Drosophila melanogaster: one gene and its partners. The protein of the gene in region 3 interacts with the protein of the main gene of each other region in a pairwise test. Each region holds a gene or a part of one and is shown on either strand. Other genes may lie near its edges.

Region 1 (8,686 bases), 3.4 Mb from region 3:
AAAATCCGCTAAAACTCGCCGATGGCCGTCGTGGTGGATGATGATGGGTGCTAAGGTGGGTGGTTGAATGGGTGGTAAGGTGGCACAAGTGACGCTTTCGCTTATGGCGACAGCCTGGCAGCTTTGACATTTGCATGTGTATTATGCGTGGCCCTGTGGGCATGTGTTTGTGTATGGCGAGTTTTCCACACCCTCGCGAATGCCAGAGCATCCTTCTAGATGGGCAAAAATCCTTCAAAGTTCAGAAACAGAACAACAGGCAACAAAATCATCGCCACATCGCCTTTTTTTTAAAACTTTTTTGCTCCATTTTTGTTCGCTTTGAGAGCTAGACATATGGACAGATGGTCAGAAGGACAGCAGAGCAGCTGCACAGACAACAGACAGCACCCTTGACATTTTCCAATCAAGCTTTTGGACACAGAGATTGGCTATTGGAGGATGGCCATCTGATCCAGATATAAACTGATCAATTACCGACTGAGCTTGCTAGCATAATTGGCCTTCAAAAGTCATTAGACTCGATGCACATGAACAAAAAAAAGGTATCTTGGAAATTGAACTTAGTAACTAAAAACTATCACCATAAATTCCAAATCATATAGTTTCTTCCTTGGTGAAAGATGAAAGCAACCATGATATCAATATCTTATAGTTTGGTTATACCTTAAGAAACCCTCCAAATGTTCGATTTATGGAAGAGCAAAGCTATTATTAGACCCTGGATTACATGTAATATAACATATTTTTGAAGTTATTTATCGCAACCCGAACTCCGCTAAACAGGACTTTGTGGTTCAGCCAAGATTTATCGGCTCATTCCGTTCGCTTTCTGGTTGTCGTCGCATCCGCGGGATACCATCCTCAGTACAGCCAACTCCATGGCCAGTGCGGTGTGGCCCAGAAAGCTAAAACTGAAACTGAGACTGAGAGACCGAAACTGAAACAAAACACACACACAGCTCCTCCACAACATGGCACATGGTCCATCCGCAATCCTTCGTCGCGAATCCTCCTCCGCAGTTGAGAGGAGAAGTTTGGAGGGCTGCTCTGCTGTACTGCTGCTCCTGCGGTTTTCGTCCCCAAAAATAACTAACCCCCGATGTGAGAGCATGGGCCACACGCCAGTTTTGTGTGTGTGTGTGTGTGTGTGGAGGGGAGGGAGGGAGGGGGTTGTCTAAAGTAAATGGCAAAATGGAATGCTTGGACATGGACAGAACGGAGCAGCGAAGCAGCCAGGGTAACACGGCTAAGCCGGCTACGGAAAAATCAGCAAATACGCCTGTATTTTTTGGCTGGCGTCTGTCGCACTCCCTGCCCTTTCCCATTTCCCTTTTGCATCCTCCGCCTTCCCCCCTCTTCAACGCTCACTTTTCCATTTTCCCGCTGGCAGGCGACAGCCACCACCGAAAATTGCCACCCACCTTGCATACACGCAGGAAAATGATTAACCAATGTTGCGACCATAGGCATTTGCAATGGCAATGCAAGACAGATCGCCTCGACTATAAGATACCTATTACTCAAAGCAAATGAAGCGAGAAAAAATTACAATTGCAGCAAAGCAAGTTTCTTTTCAAAGAACTTTCAATTCACTTTTTATATACGAGTTCTTCGATGATGTAGTTCAAATTGCCAAAAACAAAAATATGCTCATTTATTTATTTTTGTGTAATTTAGAGAAACAGCCATTGGGCGTCTACAAGTTTTTTCTTTATTTTTAGCCCGTTTGTTTAATTTGATTGTTTTTATTTTCAATTTCTACGTCGACTGTCTGCTTGTTGATATTCCTCTATTTCTATATATTGTACATAAACATATATTCCTTGCAATCTCATTCTGTTAAACGATAATTGTAATCATTTCGAAATGGGGATGACTTTATCTGGCCAGAAATCGTTATCATCCGTAAAATGTGGGGGTTGGTCGCATTCAACGAGATTTTAAACTTATAAAGTCTAATACCTCTAATACGGGGGATGACATTTATCTAGCTTTTTATCAAAACATGGTGCGATAGAAAATCGAAAAATTGATTCAAGCGTCCTTTTTTAATTCAATTAGATGTACTTCATTTTTGAAATGCAATTAAATTAGAAAGTACATCCTAATGCGTTCTACACACGCTTGGGTTACTAAAAAAAATTGATTTTCACTGAAAATATTTGGTTTAATTGGTTGGGCTGTCCATGTTTGCCAGCTTTCAAAATTGAAATATTCGATCTCAGCTGCCTTAACTTACATGTATAAGCATGTACAAAAGGCTAATTAAGCTACAAATTCATTGATTTATTCCATTCGATGATATAATGGACCCATGGTCCAATAAATGTGATTGAAATGCTAACAAACGAACCAATGCATCCATTAAAATTAATTTCACTAATCGGTCGGTGGATTCGCCTTTCCATTATGCAATTGAAGTGAATTATTTTGTGGAACGAGGCTCGTTCCAATTTCCCGTCGACTGTCAAACTTTGAAGTACATATGTAGTTTCGTTTCTTTTTGTGTGCTTATTATGCTGTGTCTACAATTTGGCAAAATTACAAACCAAACAGTAAAATCAGCAGTCTGTGAATGTGTGAATGTGTGTGTGCGGCAGAAAGAATCAGTAAATATATATATTTATATATATAATATAAACTTATATAGATGGATGAGTGTAGCCAGATGGAAGACAAGTGTGTACACCGAGAAAATAATATTTGTGAGTTTATCCTACTTCGAATTGCCTTCAAAGTTTTAAATTTTAAGTTTTTGAAATTACAAATTTTTCTTTTCAATCGGAACTTGGAAGTTGCGCATTAAAGTGATGTGCTTTAATTATCTTGATATGTAATAGTATAAGGTTTTAAGTTTGTTTTTTTTTTTTAAATTATAAAAATTGTTTTAGGAAAAATGATACGAATGGTTAGAAATAAATACCAGTTTTGAAATCAAATCAAATCACTTCTTTGTGTAAGGAATGCAATTGTATAGGGCTTCCCTTTTTTTAATTTTTTCAGACAATGGAAAAGTGTGCAAAAAATGCTTACCGCAATTTGTTGTTGCCAGCGCGACGCTGGCTGCAGTCGGGCGTCGCTGCTGACGCCGCTGCTTCTTCGGATGCTGCGGTCGCAAGAGAAAAAAGTTGGCAACTTTTGATGTTTGTTGTTTTGGCTGTTTGTTTTTGTTTTTTTTTTACTTTTTTCCTTGGCTTCGGTTAACGCTTTTCACCGATCCGCTGCTTTTTGCAATATTTTATGGCTTTTATTTTCCACTGCTTTGCTACTTCGCTTGCACTTTAACACACAAAATTCCAAAACATTAAAAAAAAAAATATAGAGAAAAAACATTTCACGCTTGGCTTCATTAGCATTATTGTTCGTTTATTTGTTATTCGTGTTGTTTTCCTTTAACACTTTCTCGTTCGCGAAAGTAAAATTATACGGAGTTAGATGGAAAGAAGGAGAGATAATAGGAGCAACTAAACTAGCTGGATTCCATAGAATTTTGTTGTTTGTGGATAGCTATCATTTACGCGATTTCTACTAATTGTTGTTGATTGCGTTTTTAGAACGAAACCATAATTATCAACTTAAACTTGCAAATTACATTGTATAGCTAAACTTTTAGCAAAACTTAGCGACTAAATTGTCTTTTGGCCACTCGAAATTCAAACACGTTCAAGGAAATAAAGCACAGCTGTCATTACAAATGGACTTTCCCTCTAACTTTAGTGTACCAAGTACATTGGGTTAATGGCTCTATAAGAACATTTTTCATTCAGCGTTTAATGTGCCCATAAAAGTTAAGCTATGCTGTAATTTAAGCAGAATTAATTCAGTTTCTTAGCGTCTGGAAAACCGCGAAGCTATTTCATTGATCGACTTCAAAATTTAAAACCTATTACTAAGTGCTCTAAAAACTAGGCACCATTTAGGAGCCAACATGTTTGCCATTTATCTGATAGACTTGAGTGTTTCCTTTAGATTAAGGGGAACTCCGATTCAGGATGCTGCTAATTATTAAGGAAGCTACTGGATTCGCTTAATCTCGTTTTCATCGTCGTCGTTAGCCGAGTACCGAGTAACGGTATCGGATGGTATCGAGTACCGGTACCGAATGCCGAGCACCGTTAGGCAGCTGCTTTTAATGAGCCTGAACTTTCACACCGCTGCAGCAGAATGTAAAACTATTATGCACACTGCAAAAAACAAGCGCTGGTCATTCGCTACAATTACTAAAAAAAAAATAATACTATTTCCTTGAGAATAGCATTTTAATAAATTAGAAATTGGATCTGTGAAATAAGAAATGAACTATTAACCAAAAGCTATGTTTAAGAGCATTTTAGAAAACTTGAGAGAAATGCTCGATCGATTTGCAACTTTGTATTGATCAAATGGCACTATAGAGACCAATTCTACCTTTACATTTCTTTCTGTGTAGCGCCGACGGCCTTGGCGGCTAATTACCGGCGACCGGTAATGCGGTCGCTGCGCCGTCGACCCTGCGTGGGCGGCGCAGCCTTAATCCCGCTCGAACGGATTAAGTCGATGATGCTGGTATGGAATGGAATGGCTTCGGCTGCAGGTGAATCGATAAATGGAAATCGCTACTCCTCTCGCTCCCTCTCTCTCTCTCTCTGTCACTCTCTCTCTTTCTCCCACCCTATCTCCGCTACTCTTTGGCTTCTTCTTTCTTTTGCTTTCTGTTTACACTTATTTACCATTCAGTTTTTGCTGCTTTTCCGCTTTACACACAAACACACACATACACACATAGACGCGGTTATGTAGAACAACCACTAAAGCACCGTTAGTCTAACAGCATCCAAAGATATTCGAATTGTCTTGCCGCTACCGCTGCCGGCGTCGCAGTCGCTGTCTGCTTCGACGTCGGCGTCCTCATGTTGTTGTTCTTGTACTTCTTGTACACTGCTGCTTCCTCTTCCTTCCTTAGCTTTTTCCCCATGGAATTTGCACACACGACTTTGTGTTTACGTTCTTGTGCCGCGATTTAAGTACTGTTATAACTTTTGCCTGTCATCACTAGTTTGCTTTTTTTGTCTTGTTTATTTTTGTGTATTTTGCATAAATTCCCGGCTAACAATTATATATTTTCGTTTGTTTTATTTATGCACCGCGCAGTGCTTATTGTTGTTGCCGTTTCTTGCGGGAGAGATGCGACGCGCACGCAGCGTCGTCAATGGAGAAAAATAAAAGAGAAAGCGCCCGCTCAGCTCAGCCAGTCTCCGTTGACCGCGCGGTTGGCGAGCTTTCTTGCAACTGACTTTCGAGTTTGAACGCGAAACTTTCGATTTCCATTTCCCGATGGCGAAGGACGATAGCCATCATACGATAACGATAGCCCAATGGAAAGCAGCTGTCGGAAATGCAATGGATCCACTGAACAAATTTTGGAACAGCTGTGGCGCTACATTCGAATTGAACAAAATATACTTTAAAATTAAAAATAAAAACGATTGTGCAAAGTCAAAACGTCCCTTTTGATGCTATGCGGGCATTTTTGCACGGATCAAAGCTGTAGTTTTGGTGTAAGCTAAAAAAACAATTGGTTTAAGAGGCAGTCATTTGATTGTCTTAGGCATATAAAAACTATTTAACTGTACTTCTAAATATTTATTTATCCTTACTTTACATCTAATAGATATGTATGAAATTATTAATTTCAATGATTTTATAACAAAGGTATTTATAATGAAATAAGGGGCAAGTTAATTTAATTTCCTAACACTACGAATTAATCAGTGAACAAGATTAATCTTATTTAACTACTTAAAGCTATGACACAGAGGCATATCACACACGTCTAGACATAGGGATTCCAATTGCTGCCGTCCTCGGGCAGCAAATTGTTGGTGATCAGGAGGATGACGTCGATGATCCACCAAACGCCCACGCCGCCCATGGTAAGCAGTTTGCCCACAGCCGTGCCCGTTTGACCGAGACAGAAGCGATCCATACCGAGGAAACCCAGCAGCATGCTGTAGATCAGTGTGGTCACAAAGTAGTGATCCGTGTAGCGGACACAGGGCACTCCGGCGCGCAGAAAGGTGCGATTACCGTAGCACTCGATGTCGGCAAACACGGTGCACCAGACCATGGCGTGCTCCACCTCTTCGTACGTGGAACCACCGAACTTCAGGCATCCGTATTTCTTTTCCTGCTGCGCCGTGGCGTTCTCCCGATGATCGACGGGATCCTTGCAATCGAGAAAGTCGCGCGGCAGAAACGAGCACATCACATTCGGTCCCAGTGGATAGAAGGCCGAGTTTCCAGCTCCGCCCGAGGCGGAAGATGCCGAAGATGACGATGAGGAGGGTCCCATGCCGGAGCCCAGTTGCGCCTGAACGGGCACCACCGATTGCACCGCCGTGCCGGAGACCACAGTCTGCGGCTGCTCCTTGTCGCTGCGTGCCTGTATCGCTTGGGCATCGTGTTGTCTGGCCACCAGGAACGCCAGTAGTCCGTAGAAAATCCGCATCTTTGCGAGCTCCTTATCAAAATATAGCTAGCCAGTGTGGCCACACCTTAGCACAGCTAACAGAGCTCTGTTATCTGCGATGGCCTACCGATAGTTCTGATTTTAAGCACCACGACAACGAATGGAAATAAATAAATGCAAATAAACCACCTTTCAAGTAACAGTGCTCCTTAGCATATTTATTGGCATTAGTGTGATCGTAGTCTTTAGTTAAGTACATTTAGTGAAGTGCTATTTAGTATAATGCGTTTATTTATTTCAGACTAGTTACCAATCACGCGCCCATCTCTACATTCGATAGGCAACGGCCCTGTTGCATTGGTGTGCACACACTGGCCGCGTAATCAGCGGGCGCGAACCATTTTTTTTTTTTTTTGTGCGACAGAACAAAAACAAGAGAATAATAGACGCTTAAAGAGCATTACCCGTCCGAATTTCACGGGCAGTACGAAAACAAGAACGGAGCAGAGAGCCCGCTTAATACGACGCGTCATTTTCCACCATTTTACTGCTGTGATTTGTTTGAATTTTGCTGTGTCAGCGCATTGGAAATTCGTTGGACAAGAATAATGAATCTATTGCTCCTGGTGGCCACCGCGGCCTCCGTGGCGGCACTCACGTCCGGTGAGCCGTCACTGCTCTCGGATGAGTTCATCGAGGTGGTGCGCAGTAAGGCCAAAACCTGGACGGTAAATTCCTTTGTTTCCAACCCTTTTCTTGCTGACGTGACAAGAAAATTGCATTTTCCCGTTTCCTATCCGCCAGGTGGGTCGCAATTTCGATGCATCCGTAACGGAGGGACATATTCGCCGCCTGATGGGCGTCCATCCGGATGCGCACAAGTTCGCACTGCCCGACAAGCGTGAAGTTCTTGGCGATCTATACGTGAATAGCGTTGACGAACTTCCCGAAGAGTTCGATTCCCGCAAGCAATGGCCAAACTGCCCAACCATTGGCGAGATTCGCGACCAGGGTTCATGCGGCTCCTGCTGGGCCTTTGGTGCCGTGGAAGCCATGTCCGATCGCGTACGTAGCTTACCTTATCGATATTATAACCCCTTCCATTCTTTGTTTGTCCAGCTGATAAATTTCCCCATTTTTTTTTATTATTATTTTCTTTTTGTATTTGTTATCAATGATTTTTTTTTTTTTACTGATTTCGCAATGGGCAGGTGTGCATCCATTCCGGCGGCAAGGTGAATTTCCACTTTTCGGCCGATGATCTCGTCTCCTGCTGCCACACCTGCGGATTTGGCTGCAATGGCGGTTTCCCCGGCGCCGCCTGGAGCTACTGGACGCGCAAGGGAATCGTCAGCGGAGGACCCTACGGATCTAATCAGGTTGGTGATCTTCTCCTGCTTTAATGGGATTTTGCAAATCATATTTAGTTTGGTTTAAAAGGGCTTGCAATTTGGTTTTGCTTGCAGATGAGTTTCCAATAAAAAAAAGGGTTTGTTTTCTAACGAAGAAAAACATACTTTATGTGCAAAAATAACCTGTATTTGTACATATTGTATTTCTACGCCGAAATAGTTAGAAAGCAACTTGATTTTGTTCTTTGTTTACTTGAAGTGAACTGAAGACTCAGTTTACGACGCCATAAAAAATTGTATACCACAGATATCGCTAGAAAGCGGCTTAGTATATCATATACAAACATCCATATACACAAAGCTATATGTATATATATCATATACGAACATCTATAGATATACATGCATATATTGTGAATGCACTCCAGATTCGCGTACATCCTCAACGATAAGTTTTAGCTGCTACTAACTCATTTCCCAGATATAGTAAGGCAAACAGAAGAAAAAACGATTCTAATATGCACTTATTTTGCAGGGCTGCCGTCCTTACGAGATTTCTCCCTGTGAGCACCATGTGAATGGAACCCGACCACCATGTGCCCATGGCGGTAGAACGCCCAAGTGTTCGCACGTCTGCCAGAGCGGTTACACCGTCGATTATGCCAAGGACAAGCACTTCGGCTCCAAGTCGTACTCGGTGAGGCGTAATGTGCGTGAAATTCAGGAGGAGATCATGACCAATGGACCGGTTGAGGGCGCCTTCACCGTTTATGAGGATCTCATTCTGTACAAGGACGGTGTCTATCAGCACGAGCATGGCAAGGAGCTGGGCGGTCATGCCATTCGCATTTTGGGCTGGGGCGTTTGGGGCGAGGAGAAGATT
Region 2 (6,934 bases), on a different chromosome or scaffold from region 3:
ACGTACAACGTTTGTTAGTTCAAGATAAGATGTTTTTTAATACGGTGCTTTAGAATATAAATTAAATAATTCATTTGTAACTAACTTACATATTTGGTTGCTGCATCCTGAATTGTTCAGTTCATTGTATTTCACTAACGTTATACGTTTTATGATTGATTGATTCTTTCCAGTTGAAGCTGTTGAAGTTGAGGCCTAAATGATAACATGCCTGATTTTTGTATGGACATACACTTCTCTTTCTTAAATAAACCAATCTAAAAGACTTTCTTTTGCGTGGTAGACAATTAGCCGATATCTACAAGATGAACACTTGATATCGACACAATATGGCGCTTTCACTACTCAGACTAATACTTACACACAAATCAGATCAGAACAGCTTTGAAGATCGAAATAATAAAAATATTAAACAAATTCAACGCATCACTTGTGATACTAACATTTTTCATGTGACTCACCAAAATGTAGATACTTATTCATTCTCTTTCAATTTGTTGTAACTTAAGTAAGAAGCTGACTATTAAATTATATATTTTCATGATCACTGATTACGAACTATTAAATACTTCATGTGCATACTTTTTGGCATTTGTAAGATATGGACTTCATCGCGAATTTTGTTAACCAATGTTTTGTTCATGCATATGTAAACACATTTTAGGGATAGTTACTTACAAATATGTATCAATATATTAATTTGTAAATACTGATCTAAACGCAATTCTTTCCTTGTGGGGTCGTATTTTGTAAAAGGTCTGCATATCGGGTCTATTTCAGATGGGATTTCAAAGGATTAGAAAGTGGCGATTTTGCTATTTTGATAGGTGATATTACATCGGCCCACATTTTTGCACATAAAGATGACTAATGGATTGATGCAGAATTATAATAAAATACATCGAAATTGACGCAAATTTACACAGTACAACACTTCAAGATTGTAGCTTACTTCATATACTATTTTTTTGCATTTTGAGATGTATATATGTATGTATGCTTAACCCATTAACCACATTTTGGTTCAATTCTTCATACCCAGAACTTTTTAAAAACTCCCATTAATGCCACACAATACTCTAAAACATTGGCGTCTACTGTATCTGCAATTTTCCTTGCCTCGTCTATAAGAAAACCAACAATCGCCGATCCTAAGAGTAAGTATTGTAAGTATAAGTATAATGTATAATGACATTAGCCGAGTGAACAACAAAGTGAAGGATATTTAATGTAAAATGAAAAATAAGATACAAATGCATAGGCACTGTGGTGAAGGCTCTTCTGACAAGCATTACATTTCAGATGCCGAGTTGGATCCTAACCGTCCATCTAGAAAATTTTCTGCCCCTAGGCCCCTGGAGGATCCCCTCGATGTGGAGGCCAAGGAGAAACAGCGTCTGCGCCAGGAGCGTCTTCTAACCGTTAACGAAGAGGCTCTCGACGAGGTGGACTTGGAAAAGAAGCGTGCCCAGAAAGCCGATGAAGCCAAGCGTAGGGAAGAGAGGTGGGTGCTCACTACCTACACCAGCTCATAGCTCATTTCCTATTAAATTTTTGATGTTTCCGAAGGGCTCTCAAGGAGGAGAGGGATCGCCTGACGGCTGAGGCCGAAAAGCAGGCTGCTGCTAAGGCCAAAAAGGCTGCCGAGGAGGCCGCCAAAATCGCTGCCGAAGAGGCTCTCCTGGCTGAAGCTGCCGCCCAAAAAGCAGCCGAAGAAGCTAAAGCCCTAAAAGCCGCTGAAGATGCTGCCCAGAAAGCTGCCGAAGAAGCGCGTCTAGCGGAGGAGGCTGCCGCCCAAAAGGTCGCCGAGGAAGCTGCCCAAAAAGCTGCTGAGGAAGCTCGCCTAGCAGAGGAGGCAGCCGCCCAAAAGGCCGCCGAGGAAGCTGCCCAAAAGGCTGCCGAAGAAGCCGCTTTAAAGGCAGCCGAAGAGGCTCGTCTGGCTGAAGAAGCTGCCCAAAAGGCCGCCGAAGAAGCCGCACTGAAGGCTGTAGAGGAGGCTCGTGCCGCCGAAGAAGCTGCCCAAAAGGCCGCCGAAGAGGCTCGTGTCGCTGAAGAGGCTCGCCTGGAGGAGGAGCAGCGTGTCCGTGAGCAGGAGCTGGAGCGCCTGGCGGAGATCGAGAAGGAGAGTGAGGGAGAACTTGCTCGCCAGGCCGCCGAGCTGGCCGAGATCGCCCGCCAGGAATCCGAGCTTGCCGCCCAGGAACTGCAGGCCATCCAGAAGAACGAGAACGAGACCAGCGAGCCTGTGGTCGAAGAGCCCGTCACGCCCGTTGAGGAACAGGAACCGATCATCGAGCTCGGCTCTAATGTTACCCCCACTGGTGGTAATAGCTACGAGGAGGATCTCGATGCGGAGGAGGAGGAGGACGAGGAAGAGGAGGAGGAATAGATTCTACACAATCACCATGCTGTCAACCTAATTTAAAAAGAATGAAAAAACAATAAAAATATTAGAAAAACAATTTAATAGGGCAATGGGGTGGATAATGCTGGATAAGGTGTCACATCAATTCATAAATTCATCTTAAATCAATACAATGTTGTGTTCTAAATTTAGTCATAAAATTTGCTGAATAAATCAAAATTAAGATATCATATTCTTTCTAAGACATTTCATTATAAAAGTTATTTCTTATGTTCTAAAGTTCTTGCTAACTATATAAAATTCAGATATGTAAATAGTTCTATTTCGTTATCTGCACTTCGGACTTTTTCAAACTTGGCGCCTAATAATAACATAACGAATAAATACCGAAAGAAAAATACCGTGATATACTAAACTAGCATTTTTTCGAAACTGTTTATTCGACCGCACTAAATTTACGGCAAAACAACAACAACAAGCAAAGCCGAAAACGGTACAAGTGGCTTTGCAAATTCGTTTTTAATAATTTAAAGCAAACAGAATGTCGAAGGAGGATAAGGAAAAGACACAGATCATCGACAAGGACCTGGACCTGTCCAATGCTGGGCGAGGCGTATGGCTGGTGAAGGTGCCCAAGTACATTGCCCAGAAATGGGAGAAGGCGCCGACGAACATGGACGTGGGCAAGCTCCGGATAAACAAGACACCTGGCCAAAAGGCCCAGGTCTCGCTTTCCCTCACGCCCGCCGTTTTGGCTCTAGATCCCGAGGAGAAAATACCCACCGAGCACATCCTGGACGTGTCGCAGGTCACCAAGCAGACGCTCGGCGTATTCTCGCACATGGCACCGTCCGATGGCAAGGAGAACTCGACTACCTCGGCGGCACAGCCGGATAACGAAAAGTTGTATATGGAGGGCAGGATTGTGCAAAAGCTAGAGTGCCGACCCATCGCCGACAACTGCTACATGAAACTAAAGCTGGAGTCCATACGCAAGGCATCGGAACCACAGCGACGTGTGCAGCCTATCGACAAAATCGTGCAGAACTTTAAGCCTGTAAAAGACCACGCACACAACGTGAGAACAATAATACACTCTGTTTTGGTAATATATATGTATATATAACTCCTCCATTCCTGCAGATTGAATATCGGGAGCGAAAGAAGGCCGAGGGCAAGAAGGCGCGCGACGACAAGAATGCCGTGATGGATATGCTCTTCCACGCATTCGAGAAGCATCAATACTATAACATCAAGGATCTGGTCAAGATCACCAACCAGCCGATTAGCTACCTGAAGGAGATTCTCAAGGATGTCTGCGATTACAATATGAAGAACCCGCACAAGAACATGTGGGAGCTCAAGAAAGAATATCGCCACTACAAGACTGAAGAGAAGAAAGAGGAGGAGCACAAGTCAGGCAGCAGCGACTCGGAGTAGCATTGGGAGAATCGCCGACTTACTTTCATTAAAACACATTAAGTAATTGCATGGTTCCGTTTTATTCCTTAAGAACTACACGTTATACTTACGAAAAAAACATTATATCTTAAAATGATTGTAAATAGACACTAGCTTGCACTCTGGTAAATACATACGTATATATACACTTTATCCTTAATTTATCTTGAACTTTGTCTTATGTCCGAAGAGTTCTTATGTTTATACTTTTGTACAGACGAGATCAGGTACTTGAATTTAGTACTATCAGCTCATGAGGATTTCCAAAACACGCGCTTCGTCAATCAAAAAGTCATTTGTCTATTTTTGTTCTAAATCAAAGGAGGTATAGTGTTAAATTTTTAGGAAATCATAGAAATAATAAGAATACGAAATAAATCTATTCGTAGGTAAAGTAAAATAAATCAAAAATGTTCAAAAGAAATAGAAATTAATAAAAATGTGAAAATTTCATAAGCAACTAAAAGCGTCGTAAAAAGTTAAAAAAGTGAAGTGAAAGAAAAACTAAAAAACGGCTTCATGCTTAGGAAAATCGAGCTTAGATAATACTGGTTTACTACTCTAAAGAAATATTGATTCATACATCGATAAGCTTAAGCTAAAGCATTCTTTCTATTGCAAGCTTCCTAATAATACGTAACTAAAACTTACATTTGTACACGATTGCGGGTAAATAATCTGGCAAGAACATATATCTAATGCAGCCTCTTGATCTTGTTGTACCGCATGGGAAAGCGCATTGATCTCTCGGCCTGAAAATAATATACATAAAAATTGAATTCGAATAAGGGGGCACACAAACTAGACTCTACTACTGGGTCAGGACGCAAGGAATCTTATCTACAAAGAACTACTAAGCACATTTAAGACGAAACACGGCTACTACTTCAGGCGGGCTGTCGATGCCAATGATGAGCCCATCGAAGATATCCCCGAGTCGGCATCAGAAGGAGTAGGCCACATCTTTGGGATGGGCTGTATCAATCGCACAGTTTTAGCAAACACCTCGGATAAAGAATTTTCCGCAGACTTTCGTTTTGTTGGTGCAGATGCCGTCGTGCTTGTTCGTGGCTTGTGAGCTGAATCATTTAGCTGTTTACTTCTCGGCGTCGATTTGCTCTGGGCAGCATTTATGTTGCCCACGTCGTCCTCGGGATTAATTTCCATTCGCTTCATACTCTTTAAATGCATTCGAAACTGAGACATGTCGATGGGCTTACTTTTATCGCGATTTTCAAAATCCAGAGACACGTTTCCGTGGTTCGTCTGCAAATGAGGAGTGTAAAAATGATTGCTTATCGAAGGACAGCATTTTGATTGAACGCATTAACTTACCAGTACCAGGGAAGCCAGCATGTAGCGACACATGATACTAGGATCCTTGTCAGCCATGACGTCGGCTAACGTGGCTGTTCTGTTGCCCGCCTTGCAAATGTCCAGGATCTCGGTGCCCAAGTCCTTAATATTGAAATTCTGCCGTTCATGGGCTGCTTCCAAAGCAGGAGCCAATCGTCTATGCCAGTCCCGGATCTAAATGGACAACGTTAGTATTTTTTTTATAATTTTATATCCAATATTTACCAATGAGCAGTCGTCGACTGCTGAGTCGGCAATTGGATTGGGTGTTTCAGCAGACAAATCATTTGCATCTGCTTCGTCATGTAAGGTATCTTGGTCCTGCACGGTTGAAATCTCTAGGTCTGAATTGTCAGGTTGGGTGACATTTATAATGTTACTATCCATTGCACTCGGTTCGGTACTTAAATCCAATACAGAACTAACTAACGCGCTCTCCATTCCTAAATCCACTGTGGTTTCCAGTCCGCTTAGCGTTCCGGAGGATTCTGTAGCAGTCACTTCAAGTTGCGATGAATTTGCGGTATTGTTTTCCGCATTGGGTTCGGTGGAAGCGTTTAATTCCTGCGCTAGTGAATCTCCCAGCCCACTTTCCTTTGTATCGTTCACATTCTCATTCAAGGCGTCGCTGGCGCTCGCGTCAGTTAAATTATTGGTGTTGGCTTCAATCTCATCTTCAAGCTCAGTTTTAACTTCTCCGATAGTGGAGACACAACTTGATACACGCGGCTCTTCGATATCGAAGCCCGAGTCAAATGTGGGTCGACGTTGGCGGAAACCCAGAAAATCTGGTAAGATATGTAAGATAGTTTCGCGACGTGACATAGTGTGGCAAAGTAACTTACTCAAGTCCTCATCAAATTCTAAACTACAGGGGGAGCCGGGTTCTCTTTCATTTTGGGGAGCCTCTCTTCCAATTTGCAGTACAGTTCTGGGAGTGGTTGGGGATTTTTGTTGTCCCTCTCGCTTAATAGGAAGGCGCTAAAAATAAAACACATATGCAGTTCAAGATTTTTTTCCAACAGTGATGTAACTACTGAAAACACTTACTGCTTGCCTGAATAAGTCGAACTCAGGTGGAAGTTTAAAGATGCATTTCCGACGCAGGCGTTTTATGGGGAGACCCATAACATTCAGCAGAATAGGATAGCTCACCTCCCTTGGAACATTCATGATAAGATCAGCATCCATCTCAATGATATTGAGCGTTTTTGCCTCCATCGATGGGCTAACCATCTGCAACATGGGCGACAACTGGCGTTGATCTTCTAAATCTGAAAGAACAACACCCTCATCATCAAAAGACTGGCCTGCTGTGACAAATGCAATGCAGGGATGCAAGTGTTTGACAAGTGCCAAAATAAAAGAGTAAAGAAAAACAAATATGTAAGTATTTGAAATCAAAAAATAAAGGATTAAAAAAACCCTTATCCTTAGTACGCTTGGCGAGCGTTGGATTGCCATTGCTTTACCTGTATGCATTTGAATATCGGAAAGCTCTTCCATACTGATCCCTGAATCGATTAGCAACAGTTCATCTAGAGTGAGATCTTTTATGGGATCCACTCTCGTGCTGTCGAGAACACTAGACTCGTTAATGGCTAATGTGCTGCTCAGCGGAGGATTCTCTTCTTGGCTATCGCTTAAGGAGTTTTCTATATGGCTGACGCTTAAAGTCGCCTCGACTTCGCTACTCTTTAAAGTAGAGTTCTCCGCCTGACTGATGCCCATCGTAGACTCGGCTGTGGTTAA
Region 3 (8,551 bases):
AAAGTGATAGGGTTCGTTAGCATTGGTAATTAGTTGATCAAAACAGTTATTCTTACATCTATATGAGCATTTTTAGCCAAGTTATGACAAAAATTCCGTTTGTAAATATCAACTTTTTGGCAAAATCCGTTTTTCCAAATTTCGGTCATCAAATAATCAGTTTTTTAGCCACAACTTTAAAAATAATTGTCTGAATATGAAATGTCATACCTCGTTGAGCTCGTAATTAAATTCCCAATCAAACTGTATTCAAAAATGGAAATTCTATTTTTTGGCCATTTTTTTGCAACCCCTTACAAAAAATGCGAAAATTTACAAAAAAATTTATTTTGCAAAATCTGTCAAAAAGTAATGCAGATGCTTAGCTTTGGTAATAAGCTGCTCAAAACAGTAACTCATGCAGCTTTGCGACCATTTTTGAACATGGGATGAAAAAAAGGCTTTTAAAAACATCGTGTGCCAGCTTTAAAAGGGTTTTTTTTTAGTGTATTGACTTGACGGCACACAGAGATATTCTGGGTACACATACACCCATATAGTAGCGTAAAGTGATTTCTCCAATTCGAATATATTCCCATCAAAGTCAACTCGAGCTTGATTGCGGTTCAACTCAAGGCGGGCAAAATGGGTAAGGGAAAGGTTTGTGAAGGAGGAGGAGGGGGGGGGGTGTGTGTGTGAGGGGGCCAACTTTGAAGTCCGCAAGGCATTTGCGGAGAATAGTTTGCATTTAATAGAGCCCCAAAGTTTCACTTTGATACGAAGCTACACCTCAGCAAATCGTTCCAAATTCCCGCCCAAATCAAAGTCAGTGATGGTGGCCCGGTTGTTGACAGGATTCTGGCCAAAAGCTAGGGCACTCGTGGTGACCAATAAAATGCGGTTTTACATAAGGCAAATTCTACACACACAAACACAACCAATTCAATTTTGACCAAAACGGACGTCTCAGCCGCAAACAGTCGAAAGCTGTTGACAACATTAGCATGATTAAATTAGCAAAGGGGTTTGGTTTTGCCATCAGCAGAAAACAACAAAATGTGGCGGTGCCTTTCGTTACTATATAGAAAAATGAAATCCAACTATCAATGAGTGCGAAACTCTTTTATTTATTAAATTACATCTCCTGCTTGCCAATAAATTCGCCATTCATCAGGCACTGACTATTAAATTGAGCTTATGCGAGTGGAACATTTTAAAAGGGGAAAAAATCGAATATTTAAGTATTGTTCGCGAAAAGAACCTCCCCCCAGTTCTGTTCAGTTTCTCTGGATGAAAAACGAGAACTCCTCGTCGACAAAAAAAAAAAAAGCGAACAGGCATTCGAGTGTTTCGCTAAGTAGAATGCATTGTTAACTTATCAATGGAGCTGAAGGACATCACATTCCTGTTATATCATTTTATCGGATGAGTTTACGCACTTTTTCCCGTTGTTGTTGGGGAAATTGTAATGGGCAAGTTTTTTTTTTTGCTCCATCTGCGATTCTTTTTGTTTTCTTTTTTTTTTACAATTTTTTTTCTTTTTCTTTCTTTTTTTTTTTTTATTCCATTGCTGTCAGCATGGACGAAAAGTTGTATTTTGTGTCGAAGTGACAAGGTGGCGGCAACTCGAGTGCCACGCCCACAGGCCATCGAGAGCGCTGACATAGACGTTTGCCGCCCAACGCCCAACACCACCACCCACTCGTACCGTCGATAATGCCCGAGATGTACGCGCTGATTGTAGTGGGGATTGGGGAAATGAGAATGGTTATGGGCCTACGGGCGGGATGAGCTGGAGTCTGCCATGTTTTTTTTTTTTTTTTTTTTTTTGGGTCCGATAAGGTGAGCAGGAAAGTCGACAATGTTGTCGACAAATTTCGATTCGGCACAGAAGCCTTGGCAGTGTGACGAAGAAGCCATTCGCTTAATAAAGACGCCAGCCTACGTCACACAATAAAAAAAAAAATGAAATGACTTTCAAGCAAAGTTTTTTAAAGCTGCAAGTCGGGTTTAATTACATGCAGAATATATATATATATATATGCTTTTAGTAAATAAATAAGCCAAACTCTTGCGTTTCGAGTAAAAAACAGTATACAGTAATGCTTTAGAGGTTTTCGAATGTATTCAAGCGGAAAATCCTTTGAGATTTCTATGCCAACTCCTGGATGAGTAATCGAATTGACAGAAATCACTGGGGGGGATCACTTGTAAAGGTGTCTAAAAGTGTGTTATTCCACCTAATCCCATGTTCTCCTTTTTTATTGCCTACTTCTAGACACCATCGCTGGCAGTGATTTTTAGAATCCTCGTGCTTTCCGTTTTAACCCTCGGTTATTTGTTTTCCGTGCAGCCTTTAAGACTCTAATTTGTGAGCGCCTCGAGGCGCTGCGACATTGGCGCCAGCTGGAGAAGCCCACCAACTTTCCATTCAGTTTTCCCAACCTCTTTTTTTTTTTTTTTTTGTTTTTTGTTTTCCACCCACTCAACTGATGGCGACACTTGCCTGGCACAATCAACAGCTAAATTTGAGTGCGACTCTTTGCAATTACTGCGACTTAGACTTGTCTAATTGCTGAATGGTAGCAGGGGAAATGGGAATGGGGAATGGAAATGGAGCCTAGTCCACACTTAAACTCTGGGGGCCAACTTTTGGGATTGGCCTGAGCCAGTTCGAAAGCCAAGCAAAGTTGGCCGTGCCAACGAGAAACTATAAAAAATATATATGTAATATATGTATACAAAAAAAAATATAAGTTGACGCGCCAGCCGGAGGAGAAATCGGAGTCAATGCGGATAATGAGGACTCGGTTGTCAGCTCATGCAAATTAACGCCGGCAAACGGGGCGACTAATTGGTATGCGGATGGGCGCAAGGATGTGAAGGATGACGAGACTGATGGATCCACGGACTGATGGATCCATGGATATGGAAGCAGGACTGGCACGCGACCCCGATGGGTGACTGACTGCAGCGACTTGATTTGATTACTAGAGCGGAGCACGGGTCTTTATCCGGCAAATGTTCCTAATTAACTTAAGGCAGGAGGACGCCTCGAGTCCTTTCATTTGCGACGCGGGGTTAATTGATTGTTGCCCCAAAACGGTGACAAATCCCACTTGGGCTCTTCTTTTGATTAAAAACGATGTGGCAGCTGAAAAGCAAGTAGCTGCAGCATTTCGAAAAAAAAAAAAAAACAGAAGGGATATATACACACAATATGTTGGATAAAAAATCAATAAACATAATGATGGTTATTAATTTTTGCAGAGCGGCCAAGCATGATTAAGAGCGCTTCACCAAGTTGCACCACCCGATTTATTAAAGCAATTTAAGTCGAACTTTTAAAGATGATTCCAGCATGCTGCTGATGCAAATTTAATGCGCCAGTTGCGCATTAACAGGAAGTTATTTTGATTTTCAGTTGCTCGAAAATTCATGAAATGCACGGCAAATGCACAGTAATTACTTCCTTAAGTGCATGTTGTGCTCGACAATAAAACGCTCAACTCACTCGACGAAACAGAATTTGGCATCAAATGTGATGTAAAATTTAAGAAAAGTCGTGAATTTTGCAAATTACTTTTATTATTTATGGCCAAAGTTGCCGCAAGTAATGTGTTTTTCACAACTTCTCGTAATTTGCTTTTCGTAATTAAAGTATATATATATGCGCTCAGTTTCTACGTATATTATATAATATTCCCCACAACATTTTCACACACAAAATAAAGTATGTTTTTAAGCAAAATTGGTTAGACCCTGATTAAAATTGTTGTTGTATAATTTATGAACTCACCTGTTGGGTGATAAAAAAACAAAATCAAATTATAAATATTTTTTACTGCAATTTTTGATAGCTGATTACAAAATATTGCTGCATTTTGCGCAAGATTGAATTTAAAAAAAAAAAAAAAAAATTCAACTGGTTTTAAGGACTCACCCGTTGGGTAGACAACGATGGTCGTTGGGCGATTCTTGCTGCCGGTGGCGGCGATGAAAGTGGCCACCGTTTGGGCCTGGAGCGTGGCCATGGTGCTGGTGGGTATGGGCAGTGTGCTCATCACCGCCGTTGTTGAGGATTCGATGAAACCGCTGAGATTGCCCGCGGGCAGGTATGCGTTCGCATTCCCCGCACTTCCCGGTGCTCCAGTGACGTTGGCGGGAAATGAGAACGCCGGCGGCTGACTGCCGAGCACATCCGTTGGGTCACTGCCCGTGGTGGTGGTGGTGGTGGTGGTGGTGGTGGTGATAATGTTGAAGGTGGTCCCGGTGGTGCTAGTGATGGGATAATCGATTCCCTGTCCGCGGGCCACGTCCGCCACGTCGAGGGCCTGGAGCAGGAGTGCGGAAACGGGCAGATTGGTCACGTGCTGGGCGGGATTGGAGCGGGCCACTTTGGCCACTTTGGCCAGTGTGCGGCCAAGCAGGCTGCCCAATTTCCCTGTTGATTCCTTAGTACGGCTCTCGGCTGATTTTCCCACTGAATTCCTGACTCCTCTGGCGGTCATATTGTTTAATAATTTCGCAGCATAATCGTAAATTTCAATGAGCATTAGATGGTCTCGCATTCGCTCCGTAAATCCTGGCTGCATGCAAGAGAAGTGTTGCTAAATGTTTGTCCACTCAGCCACGGATTTCGGACTTTTCTAATTGCTTTAATGAATCACTAAGTTTGTGTGTGTGTGTGTGTGTGATGGGTGGATAAAAGTGGGCAGGAGTAAAAGTTTCGGTTGGCGAAAGTTGGACCAAACAACGATTGATTGCGATCAGAAGTAACCCCCCGTAAAGGTTCTAAGTGTTCTCCCCCCAGGGATTTAGCAAGGGACTAACCCATTAGGATAACAGAAATAAAACCGCATAAGGCCAGTAAATTCCTGCACAAAAATTAAATTTTATCGCTTGATTTAACATGCGATTTGTAACTAAAGAATAATCGCAAATTTTTAATTAAAATTGTGTATGCTTTATGGAATGCTGCAACATTTATTAAGTTAATATTTTGCCACGAAAATGATAACTTTAAAAACTCAGCTGCTTGTGATAATTCCCCTTGAAATGTTTGAGTTCCTTGTACCTGAAGTTCCCCCGATTGGGAAATGTAAGGATTTGCATTAAAACTCATACATATTTACGAAGTTCCCCTGACATCGTTGATTACTCTGGATTTACTCAGCCCAGCAGCCCAGCACCGTGTTGGTGAACATGACTTTTAAAGGCTCCCCCGAAATGATGTAAGCAACTTTGTGGAACGGCAGCGGGTGGTTGTGCCCACTCGAGAGAACCCTAAACCCGATTCCCAAATGACCAGCTCTTGACCTCCCGCCAATACCCAAGTTTCACTCACAATCCCAATCTCAATACCCACATCCACTACCATTCCCATCCGCACTTGTTGGCCACGCAAAAGCGCAAACATTGAATCGGCCAAGCCATCAAGTGAGCAATCCGGAGGAGCTTCAGCTCCAATGGCACTTGAAACCGAAACTGCCAAGGGAGCTGGAATATAGATGGTTATATATACGTATGTAGATGGTAGTGGCGGGGGGGCATGGGCATCGGCATCGGCATGAACGGTTGCTTGGGGATGGGCAAATGGAGGCGGATCTGGCGGATCTGGCGAATCCGGATGGGGGACGCTTTGGCGACAACAGGCAATAAAAATATGTTAACTATTGCATGGGACTCCGTGGACTAGCTTCATTACGACAAATCGAATTGAATCGAAGAAAGCACCATTCTACCTCCACAATTCCCATTCTGCATGCCAGTATCCTACCATTCCGCATCCACCCATCCCACATCCCCACATCCCATTCCGAACCCCTGCTGGTCACCAGAGACCACAATTAAATGGCCAAGCACGATTCCTTTTGCAGAGAAAACAATTTTGATACTTTCGGAAAGAATGAAGTTCGACTCAAATGTTATCCGGTGATTAGAATTAATAACGCAGTCGTTTGCCATTTCATATCCAATTTAAAATCAATTGCTAACAACCAGATAGTCTACTAGTCTACTTCCTTTTTACAGCTTAAAAGAGTCCGGTGGAGTCTTCTATGGAAGATTATCACGTAGTTGTTATCATTATTATAATGTGCAATATTCAAGTGAAAATTCAAATCGAAAGGATCTTTCTGCATATTCTACGTAGCCTTCCTTATATAAATGGCTCATCCAATGTTCTATTCATTCACAATTACTAGATTATCACACTTGCCCACTCTATGGGGTATTCCGTTAAGCACTTGTATATGTTAGCATACAAAGACCACAACTTTTTGAACAGTGTTCCTTTTGTGGGTGGAAAGCCACGGACGGCTGGAAAAACTATGGACGCGCGAAATGAAACGTGTGGGCATGGTAGGGATGGTATTGGATGGATGGATGGGTTTTCCGGCGACTCGGCTTGAGTTCCACTGAGGCTGGTGCGAGGATGTTGAAGGCGCGCGTCCTTCGGCTTATGTGCAGCGCACTTTGTCACTCTTATTTCTGTGTAAAGCTGCCAAAACAAGGATGCGGCACCACAAAAAAAAAAAAAAAAAACCCAAAACAGGACAGAAAAGAAAAAAAATTCGTACAGGATCGCGGTCGTTCGTTTCCGGAGTAAATGTAAAATTTAACTTCGAAGTAAACACTTTACGTTGTTTCGTCCTTTTTGGTAGCCGCTTGTCCTTTTTGTTTTTTTTTTTTTTTAGCCGCTCTATCCTGCCACTCGCGTCGGCAGTCCGCCTGCCTTTGTAACGCGCTCGGCGTTGGAATCGCGCTTTTATAGACCGCCGGCCAGCCGGAGATTTTCCCACAAATTTCCCATAATTTTCTCACGCTTTTCCGACAATTTCCCAAAAAAAGAGAAAATGGCCAACGGTAACGTTGGGCATTGCAATGAATTGACGAGAGGGCAAAGTTGCGGCGCCGCTCTCTTCGCTTTTGCCAGCTGGAAATTTCAAAAGGAATTTCGTTATTTATTGTGCAAGACGAAAGACAAACAAAAGTCAATGCTTTTGTTCAGGTCGCCGACAATACAGGCAGAGATTCTTTAATTAATTCGGATTGTCCGCTCACGAATTTCAAATGACTTTGACCCAATTTAATTTGTAATTTGTATGATATGTGCAAATACGAAATGAAAACGAAGAAATCAACAACAGGTTATTCAAAAAACTGCGAATAAGAAGTGCCCAAAGATATGCTGGGAATTTGTGAAGCATACTTTTGAACACCTCTTTAAATATGTATCTTATGTTTTTAACTAACATTTTATTGTTTGAACAACATAATCACTTAACTTACTAATTTATGCAACTTGGTGATTAAAATGCATAGCATACACTTGATTTATGGCATTTTTGTGAAACACATTTTCCTTTTTAATTGTTAGCATTCCATTAACTTAAGTCATCTATCTGCAAATGTGCCAGCCTTGTAGTGCTTGTAGTGCCAATTTCTATGCTGAATGCAATCAATTTTAAATATAAAGACCAAATGCAGAAACAACAGCATCTGGCTAATCAATGAGGTCACACAGGTTGCACATCGCACATCGCACATTGCACATTGCACATTGCACTTTCCACTCGTTGCGAAAATTTTACAAATTTAATTGCCTTTGTCGATGGAACGCAGCCGTATGGGAAATGCATTTGGGACGACGAGTGCCGCATTTCCGGGAACAAAAATAGAAATAGAAATAGAAATATAAATATAGATAGAGATAGAAACGAAAATGGGTTGTCAAGCTAAAACAATAGGATATTTGTGCAATTTATTTGCACTATTATTATTTCGCACAAAACAGTGCCACACGATGGCAGTGACATGTCTGTTTTGGATTGCATGTACATATGTATTGTATTGTATATATACTCCAAAAAGTCCAGTATTTAAATTGCCCACATGGGGTCATCCGAATCCGTTTGGTTAGACAAACCAATTCAATTTCCCTAATCCTTGTTCAGCTTTTTGGCAAATATGTACATATGTGCATATCGAATTGTTATTAGATTGCCAGTTAGTTTTGAATGTTAGTTTCTTTCTTAAATTGTAGCCAATAATAGCCAATAATTCGACGGGTTTACTACTAGTTTTAGTTAATATTCTTGATTTATTTTAATGTAGTTAATAAATGGTAAATGAACATAGAAAAACATAGAAGGCGCGTATAGAACGATGTTGAAGGACGTCGAAAGTACTGAAAGAACGTAGAAGAATGTAGAAATTATGTAGAGAAACGTAGAGCAACTTAAACGGATGTATAAAATGTGTAGGACTTTGGTGAATCTCAATGAATGTGAAATTTAGTCAAAGACCTAGACGCTTCACTTGAATATATATATAAATGCTAATTAGTATATAAATGTGTATATATAAATGTAACCATTTCGTAATATCTTGACCGTTTAGACGGAAGGACAAAAGGACAATACGACGGTTACGAACAAACATGGCTAGACAGTAAAATCTGATGGGCAGGCCATGAAAAAGTGCCGAAAAATTTTCAAATCATGTAGGCCATGAAATGAATTTTCATTTGTGTCATAACTTTAGACTGGACAAAACCTTAGTCCAATGT

The links.
Region 1: the proteins of CG43740 (region 3) and inaE interact in a two-hybrid assay, tested with the Drosophila melanogaster proteins (one large-scale study listed by BioGRID).
Region 2: the proteins of CG43740 (region 3) and TfIIFbeta interact in a two-hybrid assay, tested with the Drosophila melanogaster proteins (one large-scale study listed by BioGRID).

What each region holds. Positions count from the first base shown.
Region 1 is NC_004354.4:13,780,303-13,788,988, reverse strand, and holds the start of inaE (inactivation no afterpotential E), read right to left. Parts: upstream 5,276-8,686; 5' UTR 4,713-5,275; intron 3,283-4,712; 5' UTR 3,037-3,282; intron 1-3,036. Other genes in the region: amrt (amaretto), read right to left, coding at 5,816-6,490; CtsB (cathepsin B), read left to right, coding at 7,060-7,179, 7,256-7,516, 7,663-7,830, 8,339-8,686.
Region 2 is NT_033777.3:10,763,672-10,770,605, reverse strand, and holds TfIIFbeta (transcription factor TFIIFbeta), read left to right. Parts: upstream 1-2,801; 5' UTR 2,802-2,906; coding exon 2,907-3,443; intron 3,444-3,508; coding exon 3,509-3,805; 3' UTR 3,806-3,984; downstream 3,985-6,934. Other genes in the region: CG45076 (uncharacterized protein), read left to right, coding at 1,303-1,504, 1,570-2,389; Cap-H2 (chromosome associated protein H2), read right to left, coding at 4,709-5,092, 5,162-5,356, 5,408-5,970, 6,028-6,163, 6,233-6,495, 6,655-6,934. UniProt on the Drosophila melanogaster protein: TFIIF is a general transcription initiation factor that binds to RNA polymerase II and helps to recruit it to the initiation complex in collaboration with TFIIB.
Region 3 is NC_004354.4:10,331,823-10,340,373, reverse strand, and holds the start of CG43740 (uncharacterized protein), read right to left. Parts: upstream 6,723-8,551; 5' UTR 6,623-6,722; intron 4,569-6,622; 5' UTR 4,536-4,568; coding exon 3,923-4,535; intron 1-3,922.